Linked DNA regions of Lonchura striata. The protein of the gene in region 3 interacts with the protein of the main gene of each other region in a pairwise test. Links are inferred from orthologs where the notes say so. Each region holds a gene or a part of one and is shown on either strand. Other genes may lie near its edges. The genes, in order: DOLK, LEPROTL1, EDA and CYB561.

The links.
Region 1: the proteins of EDA (region 3) and DOLK interact in binary tests that used the Homo sapiens proteins (3 or more experiments, as listed by UniProt). The two-hybrid records come from large-scale screens. The link is inferred for Lonchura striata from reciprocal best matches to the Homo sapiens genes EDA and DOLK.
Region 2: the proteins of EDA (region 3) and LEPROTL1 interact in binary tests that used the Homo sapiens proteins (3 or more experiments, as listed by UniProt). The two-hybrid records come from large-scale screens. The link is inferred for Lonchura striata from reciprocal best matches to the Homo sapiens genes EDA and LEPROTL1.
Region 4: the proteins of EDA (region 3) and CYB561 interact in binary tests that used the Homo sapiens proteins (3 or more experiments, as listed by UniProt). The two-hybrid records come from large-scale screens. The link is inferred for Lonchura striata from reciprocal best matches to the Homo sapiens genes EDA and CYB561.

The regions. Positions count from the first base shown.
Region 1 is NC_134624.1:249,840-256,929, reverse strand, and holds the start of DOLK (dolichol kinase), read right to left. Parts: upstream 3,021-7,090; 5' UTR 2,979-3,020; intron 1,085-2,978; 5' UTR 997-1,084; coding exon 1-996. Other genes in the region: nucleoporin NUP188, read left to right, coding at 3,111-3,136, 4,842-4,896, 5,494-5,567, 5,789-5,873, 6,498-6,578, 6,980-7,024. UniProt on the Homo sapiens protein: Catalyzes CTP-mediated phosphorylation of dolichol, the terminal step in de novo dolichyl monophosphate (Dol-P) biosynthesis. Dol-P is a lipid carrier essential for the synthesis of N-linked and O-linked oligosaccharides and for GPI anchors.
Region 2 is NC_134606.1:44,188,277-44,195,377, forward strand, and holds the start of LEPROTL1 (leptin receptor overlapping transcript-like 1), read right to left. Parts: upstream 3,013-7,101; 5' UTR 2,914-3,012; coding exon 2,898-2,913; intron 2,690-2,897; coding exon 2,614-2,689; intron 1,359-2,613; coding exon 1,172-1,358; intron 170-1,171; coding exon 53-169; 3' UTR 1-52. Other genes in the region: SARAF (store-operated calcium entry-associated regulatory factor), read left to right, coding at 3,194-3,269, 3,963-4,138, 5,354-5,744. UniProt on the Homo sapiens protein: Negatively regulates growth hormone (GH) receptor cell surface expression in liver. May play a role in liver resistance to GH during periods of reduced nutrient availability.
Region 3 is NC_134616.1:5,473,882-5,480,938, forward strand, and holds the start of EDA (ectodysplasin-A), read right to left. Parts: upstream 3,001-7,057; coding exon 2,722-3,000; intron 1-2,721. UniProt on the Homo sapiens protein: Cytokine which is involved in epithelial-mesenchymal signaling during morphogenesis of ectodermal organs. Functions as a ligand activating the DEATH-domain containing receptors EDAR and EDA2R. May also play a role in cell adhesion.
Region 4 is NC_134627.1:9,074,558-9,081,216, forward strand, and holds CYB561 (transmembrane ascorbate-dependent reductase CYB561), read left to right. Parts: upstream 1-4,478; 5' UTR 4,479-4,484; coding exon 4,485-4,686; intron 4,687-4,855; coding exon 4,856-4,954; intron 4,955-5,028; coding exon 5,029-5,132; intron 5,133-5,209; coding exon 5,210-5,367; intron 5,368-5,951; coding exon 5,952-6,150; downstream 6,151-6,659. UniProt on the Homo sapiens protein: Transmembrane reductase that uses ascorbate as an electron donor in the cytoplasm and transfers electrons across membranes to reduce monodehydro-L-ascorbate radical in the lumen of secretory vesicles.

The DNA.
Region 1 (7,090 bases), on a different chromosome or scaffold from region 3:
AGTAGCTACAACAATGAAGTGGAAATATTTCCTGGTTATAGTCGAGGCCTGGTGTTTTTTAGATTCAGATGATCTCTTAGCATTCTGGTAGAAAACCACCCCACATGCTAAGGCAGCCAAGAAAGTCCAATACACAAGGAGGTAAAGTCTTGTCTGTGTCTGAAACAGAAACTGGAGCAGCCAGAACAAAGGGTTCCTCTGGATCAGTCGGTACAGCCACGGCATGATGACCCCTAAGCCTAACACTGCTGTCATCATGTGGAAAAACATGGAGGAGATCCATGTGCCTGAATCCATGAAAATGAAGAGCACGGTGAAAAAAAGACCAAGAAGAACAACTCCAACAACTGCTACCAGAAGGAAGAAGTCAGTGGGATCCCCTCTGCCCTCGATTACATTCAGTGAGCGTTTAATGAGCTGGTTGAGAACAAAACTTATACCTCCGAGAACCAGCAGCGCTTCCCCGGGAGTAAAACATCGAGGCAACAAGTACAGCAAGATCATACTGAGGTAGACGAAAATGAGCAGCACTTCCAGAACCTCTATCACTTCGGAGACAGTCAAGGAATGTTTCATGGTGTAGATAATTACGCTGCCAGCAACACCAGTCAGGATGCAAGTGTTGGTTGGCACAGGTTTGGTGATGCCAACCGCCAAGACGGACAGGAAGAGAGCGAGCAGCATTCCCGTGGAAGCCACCACGATGCCAAAGCGCTCGAAGTAGACGATGCCGGCAGCCCTGCACCTCTCCTTCATCACCACCCCCAGCAGGGGGATGACCATGCTGGCAGGCAGGAGGCCGCTGTTGGCTGCACCCCGGAACTGGAAGACAGCCCCGCCCTGCTGCAGCAGCCAGTCCCATTTGAACTGGGCGTAGAAGGCCTGGACGGCCAAAGCCACGGCGCACCAGGAGAAGCGGTCCCACACCACCGCGTGCACCGCCAGCACCGCGGTGAACACCAGCAGCGACTCCACCAGCACTGCCCTGTTCGACATGACTCCAGCCCAGCCTGCTCAGGCCTGCACAACTTCACCAGTCTCAGCTGCCTGTTAGGAAGAATTCCCTTCCATGCTACTGCAATTGCTATTAAAAAAAAAAAAAAGCAAGCAATTAAAGCAACTACTTGGACAGCTGAAGTGTTTGCACAGCTATTTGGTTCTTAAACTCAAACTCATAGTTAAGTGCTAATTGCTAAAGTCAACACACAGATGAATTAAAAAAAAAGTGAGGTGAGTAAATCCTGCAGTTCATCTTCTCTAAGTGAAGGCTCACAGCTCACTGACAGCTGCAAACCAAGCTTTGCTTTAAACGTTTGGACTGGAGGGTAAGCAGTTAAGATAATCAGCCACAGGCACATTTACTCTCTTAGGTTAAATCTCATCTTATCTCCCTCAAAGAATTGTGGGCATTGACAACACTGACAGCTGCACTGCAAACCAAGCTTTGCTTTAAACGTCTGGACTGGAGGGTAAGCAGTTAAAATATTCAGCAACAGCCACATTTACTCTGTTAGGTTAAATCTTATCTCCTTCAAAGAATTGTGGGCATTGACATCATTGTGCAATTCTCACCAGCATTTATTGCTTTCTGGTGACCCTGATTTCTCTATGGATACATCATTTGATAATGGGCCATATGTAAACCTCTACCATTACACTGGCCTCTCTTCTGGGGTCTTTGAAGTTCTCCTGTTCTTTATGTCTATTGGAAATATTATGGTTGATCCAGCTGTGAAAAGGGCTTACTTTATCCCTTCTGGACCACCCTTAAGCTGATTAGCAGCAAAGTCTTACTAAATTCTGCTCCCCCAGTCTCAATGCCAGTATCTACATCAGCTCCCTCATGGAAGACCAGAAGTTTATTTAAGGTTCTCTTTTGGGTTTTCAGCCAGTGTTGAATGGTGACACTAGATTACAAAGCTGACAAAGTAATAGCAATATTACTGAGAAATTATTACAGTTTGTACTGTAAAACTTTCTTAGCGTGTCTGCAGTGTTTAGATATTTATAACCTTGTACTGAAAACTTACTGATGGATTGCTTTTTGGCATCCTTATTCATATAGCCTGAAATACTTGATTGCCAAACACCTTCATTACATGCACTGTTGCTACACAGCTCCTTCAGGCCAAATGTCATTTCTTGTCATTGCAATTAATTTTTAAACAGGAGAAGAATTAATCATACAGTCAATAAACCAGAACTGGTCTGGGCAATATCTACCTCCAACCAATAACAGTTTTTGGGTTGTACTCCCTGCTGTTTCTGAGCACTGGGGAGGGGGAAGCCTAAGGCTTATTTGAGAAGAAGCAGAGTAAATGCCACCTGCCAGCCAAAGACAGAGTCCTCCTACTCAGTCTGGCAACCTTAAGGTTGCACCCCAGCTCCCGTATCGATGGCATTACAGCTTCCCCGCCGGGCTGCAAGAGTAGGTAGAAATTCACCCTGCCTGAGGTCTCTGATGGAGCGGCTCTGAATGCTTAGACCTGACAGTCTATATTTCACTAATGAGTTATTTCGTTTTCTTGTGCCTGCCGCAATCCCCTCCTCCGCACCTTCTTTCAGGTACTGTGAAGCTCCTCGGCACTGCCGCTCTCATCATCGAACGGGACCCACCGCCCTGCGGATCGAGCCGGACCCAGCGTTTTCTGCCCGTCTCCTGCTCCGCATGCCGGCTGCTCAGGGCGGGGAAGCTTCCCACTGACGTGCTGCCAAACATCCGGGCTGCAGCCCCTGATTGCTCCCTCTCTTCCCCACGACCCCGCAGCGTTGTGGACGCCCCTCAACCCGCGGGCTGCCCGCACCTGCTCGCCGCCGCCTCCTGTCCCCCTCAACCGCGACACCCACATCCCAGCCTCCGCTACTGGGAACGGCATCCGCCCGCGGGCGATGCCGGAGGCGCTCCCGGGTGGTTCCCGATTCCAGCGCGGATCTTGTGCTCCGGCCCGACCGCCCCGGGGAGCCCAGCCCGCACCCACCTCGCAGGGCGCCGCCATCTTGCCGCGCCGCCAGTCACATGACCCACGCGCGGGGGCGTGGCTTGTGCAGCACCACGTGACACCGGCGCGGCGGAGGGCGGCAGCCCTGGGTCACGTGACAGCGGAGCGAAGATGGCGGCGGGCGGGCTGAGCGCGAGGTGCGGGCCGGGGCCGCTCGGGCGGAGGGAGCGCGGGGGCGGCCTGGGAGGCCCCGGCTGTCGCTGCGGGCGGGCCGCGCTCCGCGGCACCGGGGGCCGGGCAGGGCTGTGGGGAGGAGGCGCAGCGCGGGGCCGGGAGGTTTTAACCGCGGCGGGGCGCGCGCCGGGCTGGCCCCGCCCCCGCCCGGCTGAGGGACCCTCAGTGAGCCCCGGCTCGGGCGCCGGAGCGAGCCGCGGCTGCGGCGCTTTTGTGGCGGGGCTCGGCTCGGCCCGGCCCGGCCCGGCCCTTCCCTACCGGGACCGGCTGCGCCTCCCGCGCCGCTCCCGTGCAAGTCAAAGTAAACGCGTGGAAATGAGTGATGGAAGTGATTTAATCAATCCCGAGTTCAGTGATCATCTTAGTTCAGTGGTTTCGTTTCTCCAGAGCACGTTTTTTGTCATTTATTATAACGCTTTTATGTTCTGGAGTTTCCCTAGTGTCTAATTTTTATTAAATTAATGATACCGCTGTTCGTTGTGGTCGTATACAGAGAGCTTTCCTCCCTTAGCTGTCTTGGAGCCTTATTAATGAGGGGACAACAAACCACGGTCTGTTTTATTCACAGGAGATTGTGAAGGAGTGAAAAGTAGGTGGGTTGGCGTTGCTAGGCTGGGGCTCAGAGCTGACAATAAGTAAAAAAATGTGTGCAAGGCAAATGAAGGCACTGATCTGACATGATCACTGGACCTGGGATTCATTGAATTGCCTCTTTCACATTGCTGTTCAGTTCTTGGTAAATACCTGGGTCTTTGGGTGCTCTGCGTGGGCTGGAGAGGCTCATGGCAGAGAAGTGCACCCAGCTATCGAGGAATGAGCAGGGAGGAATGATGCTGATGGGTGTGCTGGAAATAACAGGTGGTGTCATTCATTAAGTGTCACCACATGGCAGAAGTTGCAGATGACTTTCACTGCCACAGTGAGTTATTTTAATAATGTTATTCTAAAAATAAGGCAATGAGTGTTCTTGTGTAGACAGTCTTTGTGTGAGGAGTTGGGGTGTTTAAATCCTCATTTGTAATGTGTTGTTAGCAAATCATTGTTTGTCTAAGTGAAATACTGTTTCTGGCAAATATCTTTTCTCTGTGCTGTTGTAGGGAGACTTCTTTTAGAATGCATGTGCCAGGGTCAGGGTGTGATCTGTAATTTTTATAATGCAGGTTGGCTTTTCTACAGAGTTCTCATGAAGAAATGACAAGCTGAGTGTAAATGTTCTGGTGTCTGTGCGAAGATGGTGGAGTTTTTCACTTCATACAGTTTTATGCTCTGCCTAGACTGGAGGATGAAACTGCTGGAAAAATTTGTTTGAAGGAGAGCATTAAATGTAATAGTAGAATACTGCTTTATGCTTCTATTTTCTTCTTAGGAGCTTTAAATCAAATTAAAGTAAAAAAATCAAATTGAGCTGGTAATCTGATATCAATGTGAAGTTTTGATGTGAATTCACAGGTCTTGCTGTGTCAGTTGTCACCTCTCTGGGTTTTTCCTTGGTTTTTCTAGGACATTTGAAACTCATTAGCTGGAAGCTAATGTGCCTTAAATAATTTTTCTTGCATCGCAGTGTCATTCACTGTAAGTTAATTGCAGGTTTGAAAAGTGTAAGCTAGATGGAAGCCTGGAATAACATTCATCATTAAAATGCTCTCCACCTTTTCCTTGTGTTTGCAGGAGCAGCAGAGAATTATGGACAATTTTGCTGGGCAGATCAGCTTTAAGAGAACCAGTAAGTTATTCCCTGCAGAGCAGGTTTGGCCATCACTTATTGGGCTCCATGGCCAAACACATCATTTGTACACTCTTTGAATATTAGTGAAAATATTTTCTGCTGCCTTTCCTTCTTTCTCAGCATGATTTTTGTTCCTGTACCTCTGCTACTTGTTTATTCTTCTGTAAACTGCTGGTTTACAGCTGCTGCATGAACTGCCTGGAAGGGTGTATGGAAAAGGTGGTTCCTTTTCTGGAGTGGGCACAAGTGCTGCTGCCTGGTTTGCCCTGGGGTGTTCACGTGTGGTACAACTGCTGTCTTATATTGAGGGATGGAGCCTGTGCTTTCAGGAATTCGGCCAGAGGTTGAGAATCCAAATGTTTGTAAATCCAGTCCATTGCCTCCCTTTTCCTCACCCTCCCTAGGAACAGGCAGTGCAGCTCCCTGCCTGTTCAGTGCTGCATCTGGAATCACTCTGAGCCACAGACACCAGTCTTGTGTTCTTCCTGCCTCTTTGTGCTGGTGGAATTTCTTTGCTTTGCTGAAGTTTAACAGGTGTAATATTTGGTAATGCACTTTGAGGAGTCTGTTCAGTGGTGTTTGGTTCTGTTTTAGGCTCAGATTGCTGCAGAGTTGAACAAGCACTGGCAGAGGCTGTTAGAGGGACTGTCATACTACAAACCACCGAGGTACAGTCACTGCCTGATTTTAGAAATTAATCTCAAATGTGGAGTTTCCTAGTAAGTAAAGGAAGGTTACAGAATATTGTATGAAATATTGAAAGGTCACTGAGGAAGAAGCAAATGTTCAGTTTAGACTGATAAGAGTGGAGAACTTTAAAATTATGCCTATTTAATTTTTTCTTTGAGATTGCTGTATTTTTAATGACTAAAATTTCTTTTCACTTTAGTACGACTTCAGCAGAAAAAATTAAAGCTGATAAAGATGTAGCCGCTCCACTAAAAGAGTTGGGTCTGAGAGTCAGCAAGTTTTTGGTGAGTGAAGCTGCTCTTGGATTATTTTTTATCTCTGGAGTGAATTGTTACAGGATTCTGATACTGAATGACTTCATGATGTTGAATAGAGAGACACTTAAGGTCCTTTCAGTTCAAAGTAATCTAAAGGATGTTGAAGTACATCTGAGGCTCTAGGTCAAACTTCCAAAGTGGTGAGTAACTTTGAGGTGCTGTGGTTTTCCTGGTCCTTTTCAGCAGCAGCAGCCACCTGCTATGGGTCTGAGTTGGGTTCTTCCAGGCCAGCTCAGCTAAAAAACTGATGTCCCTTAAATCAGTTGCCTTGTTTGACAATCCTCCAAGTTTATCTTCAAAGTTTTGTTTCTTTAAGCCAGAAGTTTAGAGTTCAGTGGCTAGTGGTACCTTTATTTAAATGACTGATGCTCCTTTAGCTGAAGTTAAACTGCAGCTCAGTGACATTAAAGCTTGTGTATTTGGCTTTAAAAGAAGGGCTTATTAAAGTATCTGCCTGGTGCAAAAATATTCTTTTGTCGTGTTATTTGTTTTGAAGATAAGAGAGGCCTGAGTATTTGGAGAGAATCTTAATCTTTAATGAATTCTGTTGCCTTCTATTAATTTCTGATAATTTCTCTTTCTTCTGTTCAGGGTCTGGATGAAGAGCAGAGTGTGCAGTTGTTACAATCTTATCTTCAAGAGGATTACAGAGGAACAAGAGACTCCCTGAAGGTCCATAGCTCCCATTTATGTTCTATTTACTCCACATCTTTCCTTAATAACAGTTGTTTTTTGATGCAAATGGTCACATGTGAGTCCTGGTTCTGGGGAAATGGCTTTGTAGCTTTTCTTCTCCGGAGCTGCATCCAGGCTTATCTCTTCCTTCTTGGATCTCTGCAGGAACTCAGCTCCTCTCTCTGTCACAGGAATACAGGAAAGCTACAGATTTGTGAATGAGAGTGGAGCTGGAAAAGAAATACGTAGTTAAAATGAGTGGTTTGGCTTTGTGCTTTTGGAATCTGTCTTTCCAAATGAAAGAAAAATTGTCTTTTATTTTAGTCATTAAGTGAACATGTATTTTGTCAGTAGGCATTTCTCCAGTAGCTATTTATTTTGTTGTATTTTGTTTACAGACAGTTCTTCAGGACGAGAGGCAGAGTCAGGCTCTGATGCTGAAGGTTAGTAATTTCCATTTGTATTTTCTATGGAAAAGATCTGTTGGCAGCAAACCTACTTTATTTCTG
Region 2 (7,101 bases), on a different chromosome or scaffold from region 3:
CTCATTTGTATGGATGGCCACTGCATGACAAGATGCCTGTGGATAGTTCTTTTCACCACTGCTGCCAGCTGAAGTCGTCATTGCTGCCAAAGACCAAGAAAAATCCCAGGATGGTGGCAAAGATGACTGTATTCCCAGTGAGAACGAGTGCACATGCACCCCAGTAAATCTGTGAACAGGGGGAATTCAGTTAGACACATTTGGAGCTGAACACTAACAAGACACTAGGTAACACCTTATTGTCCCATTCTCGACAAAGTTCAGTAACACTGAACCATGATGCAAGACGCAATATCTCATTATTTGCGGTCACACCAAGCAGGCTGGTGTAAATTACTTGACAAATTCACAGCCAGCCAAGCAGCACTGCAAGTTTCTTCTAGCTGTACTCAAAGCATTGGCTAGCAGGCACAACTGGTTTGGTATGCAAAGTAAGGCTAGACAACAGCATCAAACACATCTGCAGCCCAAGCCATGCTGTAAGACTTTTTATAACAGGTATTTAAGATCTTCAAAACGCCAGCAGATATCCCAGTAGCAAAAAAGGAGGTGGATGCTTTCACAGGAGAGTAAGTGGATTACTCAGAGGGTGTGAGGCATTCCAACTGCACATTCCATATGAAAGTGCACTCCATGTTTTTTGACTTGGTAGTGCTTTCTGAATTCACACAAACAAAGTGAACTTTTAAAGTATTTTAGTGAAAGCTGTATACTGGGAAATAAGTAATGAGAACTTGGAAGTTTAAGAAAATTATACCAATATCACTTCAAATATAATTTATGGTGAGTATAAAAATGCTTTTTTTTGTTTGTTTATACATGCTGCTTTAGCCCAGCTATTCCACAAATTGTCTTTGAAGTATTCTTTACACTTCTATATTTGGTTACTTCCCTGTAAAGTTTTCACAGTATTTTCTGTCTCATTTTCTCTGCATTGTATTGTTAGTTTATTCCATGACCATGTAAAGCAATTGGCAATCACAATGTTCTGCCACACTTCCATTTCTGTATTGATTTTTCTTGCCAAAAAAAAAATCTTATTCTGGTTCCAAAAGTACATAATTATACGTTATTTAGTGCATGAAAGCTTTACCTTCAATAAACAAACAAACACAAAGAACAAAGTTTTCTGGGAAGAAAAAAAGCAATCACAGGTTGAAATACTACTAACCAGTTCTGCTCTTGCAAACACTATGGGCAGCCCAAATGCTGAGACCACAATGCCTGTTGTAAGGAATATGGCCAGCTCCTTGCAGGCATTACTTGTAGCATCTGTGTCATCTACCAATCTTCTTGCTATGCAGTACGGGATAGGAGAGAGGATGTAAAAAAACAGAACAAACAGTGGCCAGTACTGGCTGAAAAAGAAAAGACAAGAAAAGTTTTAGTTAACTGGGTTTATTTCCTGCTCCTCCTAAAATCAATGCAAGGCATTTTCCCCATCAGCATTCCCATTTAGGAAAGACAGAAAAGCCCAGAGAAGCCAAATCCCTTACCTTGGAATGAACTGACCCTAATCTAACAGACCATGTGCACGAGTGGTTTCAGCTGACCTCAGCAGCAGCGGAGTTCACCAACAGGATATTAACAAATCAAGATTTCACTAAGCAAGCCTAAATCTAATGCCACCTCACAAGGAGAGCTTAACTCCAAGTTTATCCTGCCAGTTGTACTTAAGAGATACCCTTGAAGCACCCCAGACTAGATTTCTCAGGCACACAAACACAGGTGCACATTGCTTCAATAAAACTTTACTGCATTGTTTGAAGGCAGCTGCATAAGGGTCTCCTTCCCAAGGGTGTCACTAGCACTGGTTTCATAACAAAAGAAAGCTGGCCTAGGAATTCTAGTCATATATGTAGAAACTGCAATTCACAACCAATAACAGGTCTATCAACAGGATACTTGGTATTTATTCAACAGCGAATAAGTAAATTTAAAATCTTTCCTGTATAGGCAGCATTCACTTGCAAAGAGTCAAAGCCGTAAGCCTTATTATCTAAGCACTTGGACTGCTACTTTGTATCTCCTGAAAACCAAGAGATAGGAATCGATGTCAGGAAAGTACAGACAGCAGCTGCAATTACTCGAGATGCTGTACTGCAAGTGTGGGGCACAGCCAAGGATCGCATGATAGTCACCGACAGCCCAGCTACCCCTAGGCAGCCACAGAAAAAGCCAATCCTTCCCCGGATAACCCACACCTGCTGCCCACCTCGGGAGATGCTGCTGTCTGATGGCCAGCCACAGCGGGACACCAGTCCAGACAGTCAGGGCAATGCATCCTTTCACGGTTTGCAGCCAGGTCTAGTGGCTTAACTTTTGCTCCTTTGCTCTTTAGGATTAATTAAATCCTGGATAGTCTGTTTTTTTATTCCCACCACGATCTTCTGAATCAAAAGCCAAAAAAGCCCAACCAGCCAAAAAAAAAAAAAAAAAGAAAAAAAAAAAGAAAAAAAAAAAAAAACACCACCAAAAAAACCACCAAAAAACCCCACAAAAACCAGAAGCCCCTCCTACGCAGAGATAACTCATCAATCCACCATTATGGAAGCGGGACTCCTCTTAAGTTACAGCCGCAGGAAAAAGTAGAATAGAAAGAGTGCACGGTACTTGTATTGGGGCAGGGCGCATCCGAGCATCAAGAACATCAGTCCGACCGCTCCCCCAAAGGACAGGCTGATCAGCGCTACAACGAGAACAAACCCAAGCCACATGAAGGGGGCAAGGCACCGCGCACAGCACCGACCGCCCCCGCGGACCAGCGCGGGGCTCAGCGCAGCCCCGGCGGAGCTGGGACACTCGGGGTCCCGTGGCGGCTCCCGGCCGCTCCCGCCCGAGAGCCCGCCCGGCCCCTCCCCGCGCGCGCCCGCCGTTCCCGGCCGCGCCGCGCGCACCTTTGATTCCCGCCATGGCGCCGCCCGTCCCGCCAGCCGCGCGGCACCGCAGAGGCGCGCGCCGGAAGCCGGAAATGCCGCGCGGAAGCGGAAGCCGCTTCCGGCACGGGGCAGGGGCGTGCCCCGCCCCTCGCGGGCCGGCCCCGTGACGCTCATACGTGGCGCGCGCAGGGCCCGCGGCGGCAGCCCCGCCCCCTCGCCGCCCATTGGCCCCGCGGCGCGTTGGGGCGGGGCTTCCCCGCGCGTTCCGGCGCGAGCGCCGCCCCGGGCGGACGGCGGCGGCTCCCGGTGCTGCCATGGCCGGCCTCGCTCCGCGCCTGCTCCTCCTGCTCTGCGCCGCCGCGGGGCCCGCGCTGGGCTGGGACCGACCGGGTGAGACCCGCGGGGATAAGGGGGCTCAGCGCGGCCGCAGCCGCCCCTGCGCTCTCCGGGCGCGTTGGCGATTCCTCGCGGCCCGGCACCGCGCCGTGCCGCCGGTTAGCGGCGGCCGGCACGGGGAAAGAAGGGCTTGTGCCGGGGTCCGCGGCAGGAAGGTGTTGGGGTTCGGGCTCCCTCTAAACCGGCTCGTACGGCAGCAGCGATCCGCGCCGCGGTCTGCGGCGGTGTCTGCCTGCGAGGGGTAGCCCAGAGCCGCCTCGGACGGAGACGGGGAACCCTGCCATGTTTCCCTCCGGGCGGCTGGTGCTTCCTAGAGCTTCGACTCGTAAACGTGCAGGCTTACTGCTTCGGCCTCTGTGGCCAGCCTTCTCCTGAGAGGAGGCCCTGGTAGAAAAGAGGAGTGCTCCTGCACAAGCTCTGACAAGCAGTAGGAAGAAATTTTTCTCAGGAAGAGTGATCAAATATTGGAATCGGCTGCCCAGGATGGTGGTGGAGTCACCGTCCCTGAAGGTGTTTAGGGAAAAACTAGACGTGGCACTCTGTGCTGTGGTCTGGTTGACATGATAGGGTTCTTTGATCGAGGTTGGACTCGGTGATCACAGAGGTCTTTCCCAGCGGAATGTGGGGAAGCAGACTGATGTTTTCATCGTTGGGGCAGTGTGTGAGTCTTTGTGCTGCCTGTTTCAGGGAAGGTTCTGCTGCGGGACGTTCAGGCACTCACTCTCCACCGAGGGCAATACACAACATCCAGGCGGACAGCTTCGATCCCTCAGCTGCAGTGCACAGGAGGCTCTGCGGGGTGTTCCCATGCCCCCGAGGTTGTTCAGTGTTACAACAAAGGATGGGATGGCTATGATGTACAGGTAACTATTTAAAACTTACTAAACTGTTTATGAAATCACTTTCCCTCAAGTTGGTAAGTTCTGAAGGAGCGAAGAACAGTGAGCTAGGTTGTCAGTAAGATGCTTTTTGTTAAGATGAACTCTTGTGCTGAAACTTAACCTAAATACTTTTAGGTTTGGATTTTTGAGAACTACTACAGTTATGTGTTTGATCTGTCTTTGAAAGAGCTAATGTAAAAGTATGACCTTGGTTGGTTTTAAATAAAATGGTGCTCAAGTTTATAAAATCAAACTCTTGCAAACTCCAGAGGATACTTTTTAATTATTATTGCTGTGTGAATTTGCGTAGAAAGGGCTTCTTAATATTTGATTCACTTCAGCTCTACCTTTTAAAAACTAGATTTCAGACTTGCCTGACTTTCATTTGCACCTTCGGATGTGAGTGCTAGTCAGTAAATTCTTGACTCTCAGCTGTTAAAGATGCTGTTGTCAATACATAACCAGGAATCAAGGCTGAAAGTAATTGCTAAAACTGATTCAGTATTGTGAAAGAACAGTCAAATGTTAATTGGCAGTTGGTACTGCTGTACTGAATTACTAATTTAGAGACAACTAATTTCTTATTTCCTCTCCAAAATGCATGTCATGTGCCACTAGAGATCCCTGTGTTTGGATACCTCAAGGGAATGTGAGCCTGGGGATCCACCTGTATTCGACCAGAGAATTCCCAATATAGTTGTTAAATGTTGCATATAGATGCCTAATGATGTCTGTCCCAGTTTCTTTTGATTTCTGCACAGACACAAATGGACACAATGGTGCACTGGATCTCCAGCTCATGTGTTATGTTTCTGTAGCTGCCATTGAGTTTGCACAGGACAGGCATTTATTATGTAACTGTTGCACAGGGTACAGCACATTTTTAGAAGTATTGCTGTATCTTAGGAAGGGATATTTGAAAAAGTGTCCAGTGAAGAAAAAACTAAATCTTCCAGAGCTGAATTCTTCAGTGTTCTGAAAGATAAGATATTTCTTAAGTTTTAGGATTTAATGTTCATTTAAACATCAAATTCCTACTCCTTTTCAAAATAGGAGCACACGGAGATTTCTTACCTATGGCCTGTAGATGATTTGTTAGCAATTACTGCTTTATTTCAGGGCATATGTGGGGAAACAGACGGATGTTTTCATCTTTGGGGCAGTATGTTTTACTTTTTACTGTGTTTATTTTTTCAGTGGCAGTGCAAAGCAGACCTGGAAAATGCCTACCGTTTTGGACAAATGGAAGTGAGCTGTGAAGGCTACGATTACCCAGATGATCCTTACATACTGAGAGGCTCCTGTAGTTTGCTGTTCAAGCTAGAGCTGACTGCAGAAGGTGAAAGGAAAATGAAGAACTCTGGAAGCTTTGGCTCTAGCTATTACCAGTCAAGGAAAGATTATTCTGATTTTGGTTCTGGAGCAATTGTTGTAATTGTTCTTCTCGTTCTTGCTTTTGGAGTATACAAGTTCTTCCTCAGCAGCCAGCAGTCTCAGCAGAGTTCTGGGGGCAATGATGGCTTCTCTCGGCCCTTCTGGCAGAGTCAGCAGGCACCTCCTCCTCCTGGTTTTAAGTCCACCTTCACAGGTAGGGCTCTGAGCCATTTACAATATTCAAACGAGTGAGCAGGATTGTCCTGTTTTATCTGCGGTAAGGGAAGGTGGGATAGAGTTAAACCACAGCATTTGCAGGCAACTGCCCAACTGGCTGCAGAGCCTACGGTCAGCTTTGTATTCTAGAAGGTCTTTGTTCAAAAGAGGAAATAAGAGCTTGGCTTTCCACAGGCTGTTGTGAATAATTATATTTATCCATCCTTCCCAACATCAGGCTTTCAGGGCAGGCTGGCCCTTTGAACCTTTGAAAAACTACCTCCCCATGCTCTGCAAGCATTCTTTTCATCACCTGTGAAATAGCAGGATTGTGACTGGGAGAAAAATTGTCATAGGCAATCTAGAAAAGAGAATGTTCTTACACAGGCAGAAACAAACCCATGCCAAGGGAGCACTCTGAAACTTTACAGAACAGCCTTTCAGCCCTGATTTCATTCACAAAGCAGTTGATGGAGTGAGTATCATGTACCAGTCCTCTGTTTAACAGGGCTCCAGTGTAGTCCTAGCAGCTGAAAGATTTGGTTCCCAGAGCAGAGAACAGTGTCTATGAACAGTTGTTAGAGGGTACAGCATCTGAATCTCATGTGGGGCCTTTCATCTGAAGCTGAAAATTACAAAAGCAGAGACAGGGAAAAGAGGCAATTTTTCTTTTCCCAGAAAACTGGTGACTTCTGTCATATAATAAGTGATCTGCCTTAGGCTGTCATAGTGTCTCAGGGAAATAAACATTACTCATCTGGTGTCTGACTAATTTAACCCTGTAAACATGCAAGCTGCTCACAGCACTGGAACTTAAATTACATTCTTACAAGTTACATAATTTTTTTTCTCTTTTTTTGTTGCTAGAGAAGGGGTTTTGGCAAGAAAATATGTAGCAAGAATTAGGTTTATTAGTTGAAAGTTTATATTTTAATAATGCTTATTAATGCTTTCTCTGAGTTTTGTTCAAATGGCTTGGCCAACAGAGGGTGCAGTATAATTCTTTTGGATTGGGCATGCACAGCAGAAGCTTTCAGCTGTACCTGCACCAGAAAATTAAAGGGAATCTGCTTCTGTTGGCTTTGCAAATTGTTTTGCATGTTTGTGTTGTGTGGGCATCAGTGGCCATATGTGGGCATAGCACTGGCTGTACTGTCATGGTCAGTAGGAGCCCTGGCCATGACACACAGCTCTGTCACACTGGGCACAGGAGAAACAATGAAGGGTTATTTAAATTTTTTTTTTCTGTTCAGTTCCGTGTCAGTTAATTGCCCCAATGCATTTTTCTTTGCAGGAGTCACAAATCTAGCAAGGGCAGGGCCTTGAGAATGTTTTCTTGAGGATTGCTGAAAACT
Region 3 (7,057 bases):
ACACTCTCAGAGCACACATGTCACCCAGCATTGGCCAAAAACACAAGTTTTAGCAGAAATGTGGCAGCACATTGACTTGGTTGGAGGAAAAGCATGGGAATGATGCTCTGCACAACTCAAATATTGCAAGGATTATTTTTTTGACAGGAAAATACTATTTAATTTAGGCACAAAATCCTCTAAAGGGACACAGTGCACTGATGTGGATCTCCAAGAGCAGAGCCCGCCTGACAGAATCCCTCTCCCATCCCACAGCACACCCATCCGGAGGGAACATTTGGATTTTATACCACCAGCCGAGGCTCCACCACTCCCCAAACCCTCCCTCACACCTCCGAGCCACTGAAGAGTCAATGAATTAAAGCAGCTCTAACAAACTCCTCATCTCGCAGCCAACGCGGTGATGCAACACCCGCCGGGTTCTGGGACAAAGATGTGCAACTACAATGCCTCAACCTCTGCCATGAAAATCTGCCCTTCTATCCCAAATGAGTTACATATTTGGATACCCTGTGAGATAGGGAAGCGGGGCGTTATCGAGCTGCCAAATCTCACTCCTGTCATGAGGTCATTTCTGGCACGCGGCCAGATGAGGTTTTGGCCAAAATCTCAGCGCTGACCATCGCTCCCCGTCCTCCCCCCCATGCTCCTCTTCCTCCTGCCTCAGGTCAGGAAGGGAGGGGGGAAATAAAATAATTTTAAAATAAAGAAAAAAGGGTCAGGAAGGGGAGTGTCTTTTGGGTTTAAATTTGTACAACCACAACACACACAGCACTCGGCCTCTTCACTGAGGACACCTCAGCAGCTGAAGGACATTTGAGGGCTCACAGCTCTGTGGTCATTGGTCCCCCGCAAATGAACTCTGACCATGGTCCTCAGGAGAGAAATGTCATTGATCACATCACTTGAATTAATTATTTAGTAATTTCAGCCCAATTTATGCAAGCATCACATGTATGGGATCGCACTGAGTTTATCAGCAGCACAGCTTAGAAGGGCTGCTGGGAACCCCACACGTACCCCAAAGCTGGACAATAACTTTCTAAATAAAGCTGATTGCAAACCCCTGATTTCACTGTTTTAATCACTGAAGAGATGAACTCACAGCACCCCAGGACACCCAAAGTGCTTGTTTTTAGCTGCAAGGCAGAAAAATCAGTGAGAAAGGGTGAGCAGCACCACTACAAACCCCATTAATCATGCGCTGTCACAGCAGCGGAGCAGCTCGGGATGCTCAGCCTTCCTTCCCCGTGTCCCCACTACCAGCAACCTTTCCCTCCAGCCCAACTGCTTCAATGTGCCCCAAAGAATATTTCATCTCAAGCCTGACAGGCCAGATGTAGAATAAAGAAATAAATAATTAGCGTTACCTTATCTGGAGTCCGTCAGCTGCAGCGAGCGACGCTCGGAGCTCCGTCCGCATCCAGAGACAAATTATCTAACGCTGTAATTTATGAATGCCTCAAGTATTTGCCCTGGTATTTCACTATACACTCGCTGGAAAGAAGAGCTCGAAAGACTAAACAGATCCAGCACGATAACACGAAAGGCACTCCAGCCGCGCGCTATTCCAAGGCAACCCAGGAATCCCAGCACGACATCAAACCGCTCCGGCTCGCTCTGTGTTGACACCGCTCGAGGAGCAGCGAGGGCAGAGCGATGACCCGGGAGCTCGGCTTCCCTCCGGTTCAACGCTGGACTTGGATTTGTCACGGGAAGCTGCGGGATCCAGGCAGCGAAGGAAGCGCAAGCCCGGCTTTCCCGGGGGCAGCCGAGGCCGGCGCGGCGGAACGGCTCCCGCTGCCAAGTGAGAGGAAGAGTTCCAAACTCGCCGCTTTATCAAAGCTATTTTTGTCCTTCCCCCCACACACTGATAACCGGCCGGGCGAGGACCGCCGGGGTGCCGAGGCAGGGCTTGGCATCTCCCCCGAAACCCCGCTGAGACTCCGCGGCAAAGCCACCCGGCACCTTGGGGGAGCGGGCCATCCGCTCGGGAGGCTCGGAGGGGAGGAAACTCCTTCCTCCAGCTTATCCTGCTCGCAGCGAAGTTTCGTGCCTGGAAAAAATGAGCTAAGTTTGCGAGAGGAGGCCCCAGCTCCGCTCCGGCTCTCCCAGAGGCTCTCGGGACAGGCGACCCCCGCAAGGGCTGGGGACACCGGCGGGGACAACCGGGAGGCTGCTGCCCACCTGTGCCGCAGAGGCTGAGCGGCTGCTGCGGGGGGACACCGAGGCATCGCCCAAAAGATGAAGCACCTGGGCTGGGGGAGAAGCGCAGTCTGAGCGCGGGAGGAGCGAGGGGAGCGAGCGGAGGCCGTGCGGGACCGGGACCCGGCGCGTCCGGCGGCTGCGGGGCCGAGCCGTGCGGGGCTCCCCGGCAGCAGCGCCCCGGGGCACCCCGCAAGCGCCGGGGCAGAGCCGCTGCCCCCGGCCAAGGCTGCGCTGTCGGGACTCACGGCGGGTCCGTCGCGACAAGGAGACGGCGAGCAGCAGGTGGAACACGGGCGGCCCCGCAGCCCGTCACCCCCAGCCCAGACGAGCTCCCCCCGCGCCTCACCCCCGCACCGCGAGCTCGGGGCTTTTCCCCACTTCTCCCAGCAAACTCCCCCGAGGGGCCGCTCCGAAGCGCCCCGGGCCGCGGCTCCCGAGCGCGGGGATGGAGCCGGGGGGCGGCCCCGAGCGGCGCGGAGCCCCCGCGGTGCCCCCGCCGCCGGCCGGACCCACCTGCTGGCGCCGCTCCGCGCCCTCGGCCGCGCGCTGCGGGCGGCCCCCGGCCGGGGCTCCGGGCGCCGCCGCCGTCCCGTCCCGGCGCGGCGGGGCCGCGGGCTGCGGGCCGCGGTCGCGGCGGAGCTCGGAGCGCAGCTCCAGGTAACAGCCCAGCGTCAGGACGTGCAGCGCCAGCGACAGCGCGAAGAAGCCGAGGAAGAGCCGCCAGCTGCCGCCGCCGCCGCCGCAGGCGCAGCCGCGGGGAGCCGGCGCCGCCGCCCTGCGCTCCGCGCCCATGGTGCGCTCGGGCGGAGCGGCGCGGAGCGGCCCCAGCGCTGCTGCTCCCGGGGCGCGCCGGGCACCGCGGGCTGCGCGGCCGGGCCGCCAGCGCCCCGCCAGGGGGCGGGGCCGGCCCGGGGGCGGGGCCGGCGGGGCCGGGCGGGGCCGGCGGGGCTCGGTGGGGACGGGCGGGGCCGGGCGGGGCTCGGCGGGGCCGGGCGGGGCTCGGTGCGGCAGCGCCGCCTCAGCGTCCGGCCGGGGGCGGGGCCTGGGCGGGGAGGGGGCGGGGCCTGGGCAGCGACGGCAGCGCGGTGGGCGGAGTTATGCAAATTAGAGGGCGGAGTCACATCGGCTGGAGCCGCGCCCCGCTGCGAGCCCGATCCTGATCCCGGTCCCGATCCCGGTCCCAGTCCCGATCCCGGCCCTTTATCCCTGTCCCTGTCCTGTTACGGACAGGCGCGGTGATGACTGGGCCCGTGGCCAGCGCGGTTCAGGAGGGCCCTGTCCCGGTCCCGGCCGACATTCCCATCCCGATCCCAATCCCGGTATGGATGGACCCTATACCGGTCCCGCTATGGATGGACCCGATCCCGGTCCCGGTCCGTCCCGGCAGTCGCTGTCTCCGCAGCCAGCGGAGGATTCCTGAGAGCGGGCACCAAACGCCGCCGATTCCCGGGCAGGGGCAGCGTTGTCGCCGCTCTGCCCGGGGACACGGCCGAGCCCGGGGTGCCCAGGGGTGTGTGAGCATTTTGGGGCAGCTGTCGCTGCCCTCTCCAGCTTTTTAAAGGTTGGTTGTCACTGCTGGAGACTAATGGAAGCTGGAAAACAACCTGGGAAAGGGTGAACCAGGGAGAGGAGCGGATTTGGAGAGGGAAGGGTGGTATCGAATCACACCTGGTTTGGTTTGGAAGAACCTTAAAGCTCATCAAAAGGAGCTGGCAAAGCCTGTGCTGGTTCTATTTCCAATCAGGGGGTTTAATTGATAACGAGAGGGATAATGAGATGATGAAGGTGCTGTGTGATGCTCACAGGCTGCCAGGAAATTTGAATTGAGGAATTAGAGATGTTCTGAACATACTTGAGAGGTGGAATGAAGAGGATAGGATGTGATTTGGAACAGTAAAAGAGGAGTTAAATGCGAGGTGTTAATGGCCGCAGAGGAGGTGGCACTGCAGAGGAGGATTCCAGCTGGTTTTGGAGGATCACAGATGCAGAGGGGTCAGCAGTGCAGGGAGATGTCAGAGCCAACCCCAGACCTCCAGGAAGGGCCAGCACCAAGGATTGTCACCGGCTCGCCCCTGCCATGGGTCCTGCTGAACCCCCTGGGTGGGCTCCCAGAGCTGGGTGGTCCCGTGCCAGGTCTGTGCTCCCAGACCTGGGGGCAGGGTGAGTTTCCCATGAGGTTGTCCCTTCCGTGAGAAACCCTTCCAAGGCCTGGAACACATCGTCTGAGAATTTGTGGGGTCTTCATGCCACAGATCACAGCCATGAAGAATCCCATGGTGGCCTTGTCCTGCCTTTGGGGAGGAGGATGACCTTTTCCAGCCCTTCCTGGCCTTGTTTTCCTGCAGTAAGGTTTTTTTTCCTATAAGTCCTGTGTCACAGACATGAAATTCCATGAGAGTCTCTGTTTTCATTTAAGAAAGAAATGTTTCCCTAATATTTGGGAAGAGCAAAACTGGAAGCATCAAGCGCTGCCAACCCCAACAACGGAGGAGCAAAAAGCAAATAAACACAAATGAACGCTCTGTTCAAACCCCTGCAATTATTTTAGGAACATTTATAATTATTTGAGTGCTTAGTGTTGTTACTGGTCTTCAGAGAATCACAGAATATCCTGAGTTGGAAGAGACCTGCAAGGATCACCAAGACCAACTCCTGCACCACCAGAATCCTGGTTTTCAAGATGAAAACCCCAACCCCAATCCTACATGGACCTACCCACACTTGCAGCAGCCTCATCCCATTTTCCAGAGTCATTTAGGTTACTTTGAAGGTGAATTTTAGAGGTCAGGTCAACCTGGGGCTGGGTCTGGGGGAAGATGTGAGCTCTCCATTCCTGCCTCAGTCTCATCAGGGATTTAGGCCAAATCCTCAGACTGAGGGATTTCTGTCTCCTAGAGCTGACCAGCTTCCCACTAATTAAAAAAGAATCCCATGTGATGATGGAATTAATACATAATTAATAAATAAGATCCTCACACCCGACCAGTTGAACCTCACAGCCCATGGTTCCAGTTTCTCCAGGATTTTCTTTTAATTCCTCTTGTTCTGAGCATTCCCTCCTCTTCCTCTGCCATTCCTGAAAAACTTAATTACATGGATAAAGAACCTCACAGGTTTAAGCTGTTTTTTGTATCCTGCCTGTGCTCCAAGAGTCCTGGTTCAGAAGAAGCAGGAGCCAGAGGGTGGGGAAGATGCAGAAAGGACAGAGATCCCTGATGCTCTGGATGGGAAAACAAGGAGCAGTTGCGAGGGTCCTGGGGAGGGTGGGCAGAGGCTGCAGAGGAGGAGAACACACAGAGGACATGTCTGGAACGATTTTTTCTCTTGATTCCCAAGCTTGCTGGGTTTTTTTCCAGCATTGCCTTCCCATCCCAGCAGGATTTAACCACAGGTGGGAGGAAGCTGCTGGAGCTCAGGAGATCTCCCTTGCCTTTGGAAGGGGTACAGCTCTGCACAGCACAGGTGGCAGGTCTGAGTGCCCCTCTCCATGTGAATTCCACAGATCAGGGAATCTTCGAGTGATGTAAAGCAGCTTTGAGCCCATTTCCCATTTACATTTTGGCAGCAGCTGCAATTCCTGCAGCGGCTGCAGAGTCAGTTTAACATGTGTGACCTAAAAGCTTTGGAATTCCTGACTTTCTTTTGAGGAAAGCCATCCCTTGCTCTCTCAGTGATGTTCTCAACAACACGAGTACAATAAAGTCTCCTAAAACCTGAAATCCTGGCACTCCAACTGCACATCCACAGGCATTTACAAGCCCTTAGGAAGGAGAATCCTGATTTTATGGAGCCTCCATCCAGCACTGCAGTCTCAATTCCTCTTCCTCTGTGAGATCTAAGATGTTCCATACAATCTGCTTTGCTTGTTTATTCAGTAACTGTGAGCTCTGGCCATGCAGGAAAGGTAACTGTGTCCAGCTGCTTCCACAGGGGCAGGGATTGAGCAATATGTTCATCTTGCTTTTCTAAGGAATCACATTCATGGCTTTTTTCCTTGCTCTGTCAGGGACTCTTCAACAATTTTCCCCTCTCAGGACATCGCAGTGTCTCTAATCACTCATCTCTCCCTCTCATCTTCCTCTGTGAATTCTCACAATGAACACTAAGTTGCTCAGAGCTGTGGCTGCCCCATCCCTGGAGGTGCCCAAGGCCAGGATGGAGGGAGCTTGGAGCCGCCTGGGATAGAGGAAGGTGTCCCTGCCCATGGCAGGCAGTGGGATGGGCTTTTTACAACAAGAAAAAAAAAAGCTGTGTTGACTCTTGCTGGGCTTATTTTCACATTTCCCCCTGCACTGCTGACTTTTAAGGAGCAGCAGCACATTGACACCTCATTTTCCTGCCTGGATCAGGCTTTGCTGTGTTTTGAAGGAAGATGGGGCCTGGCAGCCCCACGATTCCATCCTGGGAGGAGGTTTGGCCAAGGAGCCCGAGCTCAGCCTAAACACAACTTCATGCAGAGGGGGTGAGGAAGATGCTGCTCTTGGTTCTGTTGTATGTTTATTTATATGTTATTTGGTGATAATGAAAACCAAATGTTCGGGATCTATTCAGTTCTTAAACTTTTATAGACTCATTGTCTTGATTTTCAACTGTGCAGCCGTCTCCGAGCCCCTGCCTCCCCCGGAATCGTGGCAGTGCCGTCGGTGACCAGGCTCAGCTGTGCTCTTACTCATCCTGGCTGGAACAATGATATTCCACACCACGTTATTCAACCTCCTCGGTGCCTCCTGGCCCCCTCATCCCGACCCCTCGGCTCCCACATCCCGGGTCAGCGCCGGAGCCGGCCAAGGCATTGTCCTGGGGGTGCCACTTTCGGGCTGTGCTGGTGCCAGGGAAAGAGGATACGATC
Region 4 (6,659 bases), on a different chromosome or scaffold from region 3:
CATCCCTGAGCAGCCTTGAACATCCCTGAACATTTCTCAGCATCCCTGAGAGGCCCAGGAGGTCTCAAGCATCCCCTCAACCGGCAGGTCCATGCCAGGACAGCCAGCACAGGTTCTGGTCCCTAACTGACACATGCCCATGCCAGCAGTACCGCAAGGATTTCATTACCTCCAGCCTGGGGAAAGCTAAAGCAGATTTAATAAAGCCATTATGCCCCTGGCAATGCCTTTAATTAAAGAGCTCATTATAAATGGCCACTGCTCCCTGGTAAGAGGAACTCAGCAGGGAAGCGGCTCATTTGTCCCTGGATTGGCTGCCACCATGGCCCCTCAGCAAACACTGCCATTTTTCCTGTTGCAAGGATGGGACAAGATCCACCTCCATTTAATCCTGAAGGCTTAAGGGCCGTTGTCTTTCCTTGTCTGCTGGAAGTTGAGATAGTTCAGCTGAACATATGTTTATAAACATTTCTAAACCTATTTGGTATTGGGTTACACAGTGCTGTTCTCATCAGGGCGAAGCTTTATGTCTTGCCAAGTATCCTAAAGGATGAATCCCCAAATCTCATCCCCTTTATGGATTTTCCAAGGGTCTCAGCTGGGCTGTTGTGGGGGGAGTCCTCCCTCTGCTCTGCCAAGCCCCCTGGCCAGCCCATCTCAGCCATGGCAGATCCCAATGGCTGAAGGTTTTCAGTTTATGGTGGCTTTTATGGCTTTAGCAGAGGACTCTGATAAATCATTTTCTAACCAGTGATAAAGCCCCAGTGCAGGCTGGGTGGTGCCAGTGACTCCTTTGGCAGTGCCATACCCCATATCTCGAACCTCCCTCCCTCTGCTCGGGTGGTGGCCCTGGGACTCTGCCCCGGACTTTGCTGCTGCTGTGTCAGGTCTCCACAGGCTCTGGGGCTGCAGCGGGGTTTCGGTTCTGCTGAATCGTGTCGTGGCGGCGGTGCTCGCTCCCACCTTCGGCGCTTCGCAGCACAAAAGGAACGGGGATGTTGGTGGGGGTCTCAGCTGGGACATCAGGTGCCTTTACTCAGGGTTTCTGTGTGGGTGACAGCAGACTCGAGCGCCCAAGAGAAGGCACCTCAATAGAGGCTGTTACTCCTGATCTTCTGCGCCACGGGAGCCCCAGATCCCACCAGGAACTCCGAGTCCCAGGATGCTCCAAGCTCCCATGGGTGGTTGAGGGCACAGGGTGCTGTGAACCCCATCACGAGTAAGGGCGCGCCGATTCCCCAGGGTGCTCCGGCTCTCGGGGTGCCCCGGGTCCTTCTGGGGGTCCAGCTTTAAGGCTGCTGCCGTTCCTACCCGGTCCGTGCCTGGTGTCTGTCTCCTAGGGGTGATCCAGGGCCGAGGATGCTCCGGATCCTCGGGGCGCTCCCTCCCTCCCCAGGGCGCTGCGCGCCGCGGGCTCCTGGTGACATCTAGTGGTGTCACAGAGGGGGACAGACACAGGGACAGACACAGGGACACAGGGACAGACACAGGGACACAGGGGAGGGGGTGCTCCGGGGGTGCTGCTCGCCCCCGTGCGCAGCGCTGCCCGCCCGGGGGCCCTGCCCGCACTCGGCCAGGAAAAGCTGAGATGGGGACCCCCTCCTCTTCCCCCAGTTCACCTTATTTCCCCTCCTCTCCTGTCTGCAGGCTTTTTCTCCCTCAGGGGTTTCTCTTGGGGGTGCAGGACGTGCCCGGTGGTGCTCGAAGGGCGCGGCGGATGGAGGTCGGGGGCTGCTGTCCCCCTCTGCCATTGCCCGACCCACCGGCCCAGCCAAGGGGTTCTGCTTCCCAGGACGTCACTCCAGGGCTGCCGGTGGGTGCAGGGATGAGCCAGACCCATGCAAAGCCCAAACACAAATTAAATTGTGACCAGGCCCCTGTGCAGGGGACAGTCCTTGGCGTTGTGCAGGGAAGGGTCCCCGGGCTAGCCTGGTAGGGCTTGGTGCATCCTGGCCTGTTCAGGGCTCAGGTGCCTCCAGGTGCAGGGCTTCAGGTGGGTGCCTGGAACAGGGGGTGTGGAGTGTCACAGACACTGTTGGTAACTTACCTCCTTGGGGACTGTCCCCAGAATACACAGACCCTGCTTGTGGTGATCCCCTACTGGAAATGCAGGTGAACCCAGTGGGAAGAAATGGTGATGTCTGACTCCAGTTCCAAAGGCTGAATGATTTCTGTATTATAACTATACTATTTAAAGGAGATACTAAAACTACAAACCTACTTTTTCTAATTTCCACATCTTACTCGGTACAACTCGTGATCCTCGGCAGAGCCCAGCCCCAGGTGGGTTGGATTGGCCATCAGGCTCAAACAATCCTCACCAGAATCCAATCAAGCAATCACCCCAGGTAAACAATTCTCCAAACACATTCCACATGGGAAAAACAAGGAGCAGAAATAGAAATTGTTTTCTCTTTCTTCTCTCTGTGCTCCTCTATGAAAAAATCCTGAGAGAGAGAAGCATGTGTCTGCCACAATCCCCCTCTCACTTTTGCAGCCCCCCTGCCTCGGCTCCTGACACGCTCCCTCTCAGCTGTGCTGGGGTGCAGCTCCCTCTCGCTTTGTCATCGCTCCGTTGCCGTGCCAACGCGGTGGCCCTGTCCCTGTCCCTGCTCAGGCACTGTCACCGCTGGGCCCGGCACAGGCAGCGCTACCCGGCACCCACAGGTAGGGCTGGGGGACACAGGGGAGCTGTGCGGGTATCTGCCTTCAACCCCTCCAGTCTGTCACTCAGACCTTTCTCAGCTATGAACTGGAGAGAATCCCCTCCCTGCATGAGCATATACCCCCACCGAGAGCAGACACGGTCCCTGAGACCCCCCTGGCATTTTGGAGAGTCCCAGCCAGAGGCCACAGTGAGGGGCTGCCGGGCTGTGGAAGGTGCATCCTCCCCACCCAGGGCATGGGATTCACCGGAGAAAACACCCCACCGCAAGTCAGGAGCAATGGATTTGCCCTGTAAAGGGGGAACTGTGGATGTGCTTGGAACTGCAGGGGAGACAGAGGTTGGGAGGGGAACAGGTAGGTCCTGGAAGGGGTCCAGTCACCTCCAGTTTTTCCGGCACTCAGTGGTGGCTAATGGGCAACTCAGAATATCCTGCTCCCACAGGCATGCCCTGTGTCCTGCTGTCAGGCCCTGTGGTTGGGAGGGTTCATTGCCTGTCCCTCCATCCTCAGTGCTGCTGGGGGCTGTGTTTGCCTTGTGGGACTGCCAGCAGGGCCAGATGTTTGCATCTGGTGGGAGGGCAGGATAGGGATACATGGGTCCCCCATCTGCAGCCCTCAGATGTGCCAGCAGCCCCTCGGTGTGATGAGAGTTTGGGGAAGGCTCCTGTGATATGGGGGGAGCTGGTGCCTCTCACTGTCCCCCCCAGCCTGGTCTCCCTGCCCATCCCACAGAGCACCCCATGGCCCCAGGCAGTGAGGCTGGACACAGGCGGCCTTTGCAGTGCAACTTAATGGGATAAACCAATTCGCTTAACCCACTTATCTGGCTGATCCAATAAAGGTGGCTGGGAATAAAGTGTGTGCATGGCCTTAATGCATTTCCCCTCTCCATGCTCCCCCAGTCCTGGCAGCATCGTGGGTCCGTCTGCCACAGCTGGTGGGGGGCTCCTCCCCAGAGGCAGCGCAGAGCGGGGACATTGGCCCTGGGGACTGGGACCTGCTGGCTCCAGGTGCCAGGGAAGAGGAGAAGCGGCTGTGACAGTGGTGGAGGTGGCTCCGGTCCATTGAGGGATAACTCAGCACAAAGCATAGTGCAGGTGAGTTGTGGGGGCCATGGGAAGGGTCTGGTGTAGTTGTGGTTGGGTGACATCATGTGTTTGTCCCCCCGCCAGCACAGATGGTCACTCAGCCCCACGTCCCCGAGGGCCATTGTTTTTATCAGGGAGGAGTCCCTTGCTTACCCTTGTACTTCCTTCCTCTAAGGATTTGAGGGTTGTTGTGGGGGTCTGGGAGTGGGGGGCCTGGGGAGGGGGTGAATGTGGGACATGGGATGGGCATGGAGTGGGAGGGATGGGGATTGAGGGATGGGGACGGAGGGACAATGTTGGAGGGATGGGGATGAAAAGGATGGAGGCAGGGACAGAAGGACAAGGATGGAGGGGGGTGGATGGAGGGACGGTTGCTGCAGGAGGGCTGGGGCAGCAGGAATGGGGCAGGCAGGGCATAGGCAGGGGCGGGAGGGTTGGGAAGAAGGACAGGAGCAGGCAGGCAGGATGGGAGGATTGGACAGGAGTCCAGGAGCAGGCAGGAGGTGCAGAAGCACGGGGATGGGTGTGCCACGGAGGCTGGGAGCCACCTCCAGGTGTGGGTGACGCAGCAAGACCAGGAAGCGTCCGGCTCCGGCAGGTGAGGGTGGAGCAGAGGTGACGGACGCTGCTCGGAGCAGGACCTCACCCCAGGTTCGGCCAGCAGGGACCTGCTGTCCCTCGGGGCCACTGTGGCTTCGCTGCCCCTCCTCTCTGTCCCTGCAGGCTGCCATGGACGGGGCCCCGCCGCCCACCAGCCCCACCGGGCTCTCGGCCTACGTGGCCGTGTCGCAGCTGCTGGGCCTGACGCTCCTGGCCACCACAGGTGCCTGGCTGGGCCGCTACCGGGGCGGCGTGGCCTGGCACAGCCCCCTCCAGTTCAACGCCCACCCCCTCTGCATGGTGCTGGGTATGGTGTTCCTCCAAGGTGACGGTGAGCAGAACGGTGGGACGTGCCCTGTCCCAGCCGCAGCCTCCAAAGCTGTGGTCAGGCAGGGAACGAAGGGGACAAAGTGGTGACAAAAGACACAGGGAAGGAGCACCAGCATCCCTGGGCAATGCTGGGTGATGCCTGTGGATGCTCAGGTACCCTCTCTGTGCAGCTCTCCTGGTGTACCGGGTGTTCAGGCACGAGGCCAAGCGCTCCACCAAGACGCTGCACGCGTTGCTCCATGGCCTGGCCCTGGTCATCGCCCTCGTGGGTGAGTGCTGGGCTGCCACAGAGGGGTGGACGGGGCAGGATGCAGGCCTGGTGGTGACGGGTTCCTCTCCGCAGGCATCATCGCTGTGTTCGAGTCACACCGGGCTAAGGGCATCTCTGACATGTACAGTCTGCACTCCTGGTGTGGGATGGCCACCTTTGTGCTCTACCTCCTGCAGGTAAGGGGTGGGAAGCCCCTGGCCCCCCTGCAAGGATGGGTCTCTGCAGTGCCTATGACATCCCCGTGTCCCCACAGTGGCTCCTGGGCTGTGGTTTCTTTCTGTTCCCTGGTGCTTCCTTCTCGCTGAGAGGGTGGTACAAGCCCCAGCACATCTTCTTTGGCATCACCCTTTTCATCCTCTCCATCACTTCCTGCTTGCTGGGAATTACTGAGATGCTCCTCTTCAAAATCAGGTGAGTGACTGAACTGGGGAGAGGGGGTGGCCCCCCAGACCTCCAACAGAGGGATGTCCTTGTCCCTGCTCAGTCTGTGGCTCTTAAATCTCCCCTCGAGGTCTCTATTTCTGCTGCTGCTGAGTCACTTACCAGATGAAGTCTAACAAGGGGCTATATCCTACAACAGCTTTCTTTGGGAATGTGGATAAAATGCCCAGTGCCACTTCCCCGCACCCAGGTGTTTGCAGAACCACTCAGGAACTTGCGTCCCTGAGACCTCTGCTCCTGCAGCTGCACACTGGGCTCACCCCCAGACCCAGCACTGCAGAGACCCCAGGAGCCACTTCCCTCCAGCAGGGAGGGTACTGGGCTGCTATAGCCCTAGTACAGGACTGTGCCACCAGTTTAATCTGCTGTCACCGAGCGTCTCTCCCAAAAGTGAGCAAAACACAAATGCTCCTCTCTTGCTCTGATGTGGGGAAGGAACCTTCCCCATGGTGTGTGCCTGAAGGATGGGGATGGGGATGAGGACGGGGTCCCAGCCAGGATAGGGATAGGTCACCCATCCCTCAAAGCTTGAGCATCCCTCTCTATCCCTGCAGTGATTCCTACAGCCACTTTGTGCCTGAGGGCATCCTGGCCAACACCCTGGGGGTGCTGCTGGTGGCCTTTGGGCTGGTGGTGGGCTACGTGCTGACACGGGAGGAGTGGAAGCGCCCACCACTGGCAGAGGAGCTGGCCTTGTCCATGGACTTCAAGACCCTGACCGAGGGAGAGAGCCCTGGTGGTGGCAGCCAGTGACATCCGCAGCTCCTGGTCTCCAGCATGGGCTCCCTGTCTGAAATGTTCCTGTGCACCCTGTCCCTGGTGTTTGCATCTCTGCCCAGCCCTGGGTGACAAGGACAGCTGGAGAAGGACATGCTTGGTGCAATGCTGCCCGCTGGACTCAGCTTGGTCCTGATCATCCTAAGCTCTGCCCAGACCAGGCCCTGGTGACTCCCAAACCCACCCCAGCCCTGTGGGAAGGGCAGTGCTGTGGGCAGGGCAGGGGCTGGCAGGGGCACGAAGGAGAGGGGTCTCCAAGCTCTTCCTCCTCCCTGCTCTGGGGACGGAGCGGGAGTAGAGATTCTGCACTGTGGGCGGCCAAAGCCTACAGGCTGCTCTCAGTGCTGACGGACAGAGGGGATGTTTGCCACCACCAGGATGTCCCACTCACTGGCAGCCCCTCACCCTCCAGCACGGCCACGCTGAGAGGACGCTCCCCTAAAGGGCTCCCTGGCAGTCTGGAGTGACCCTGTGCCTGTGCAGGT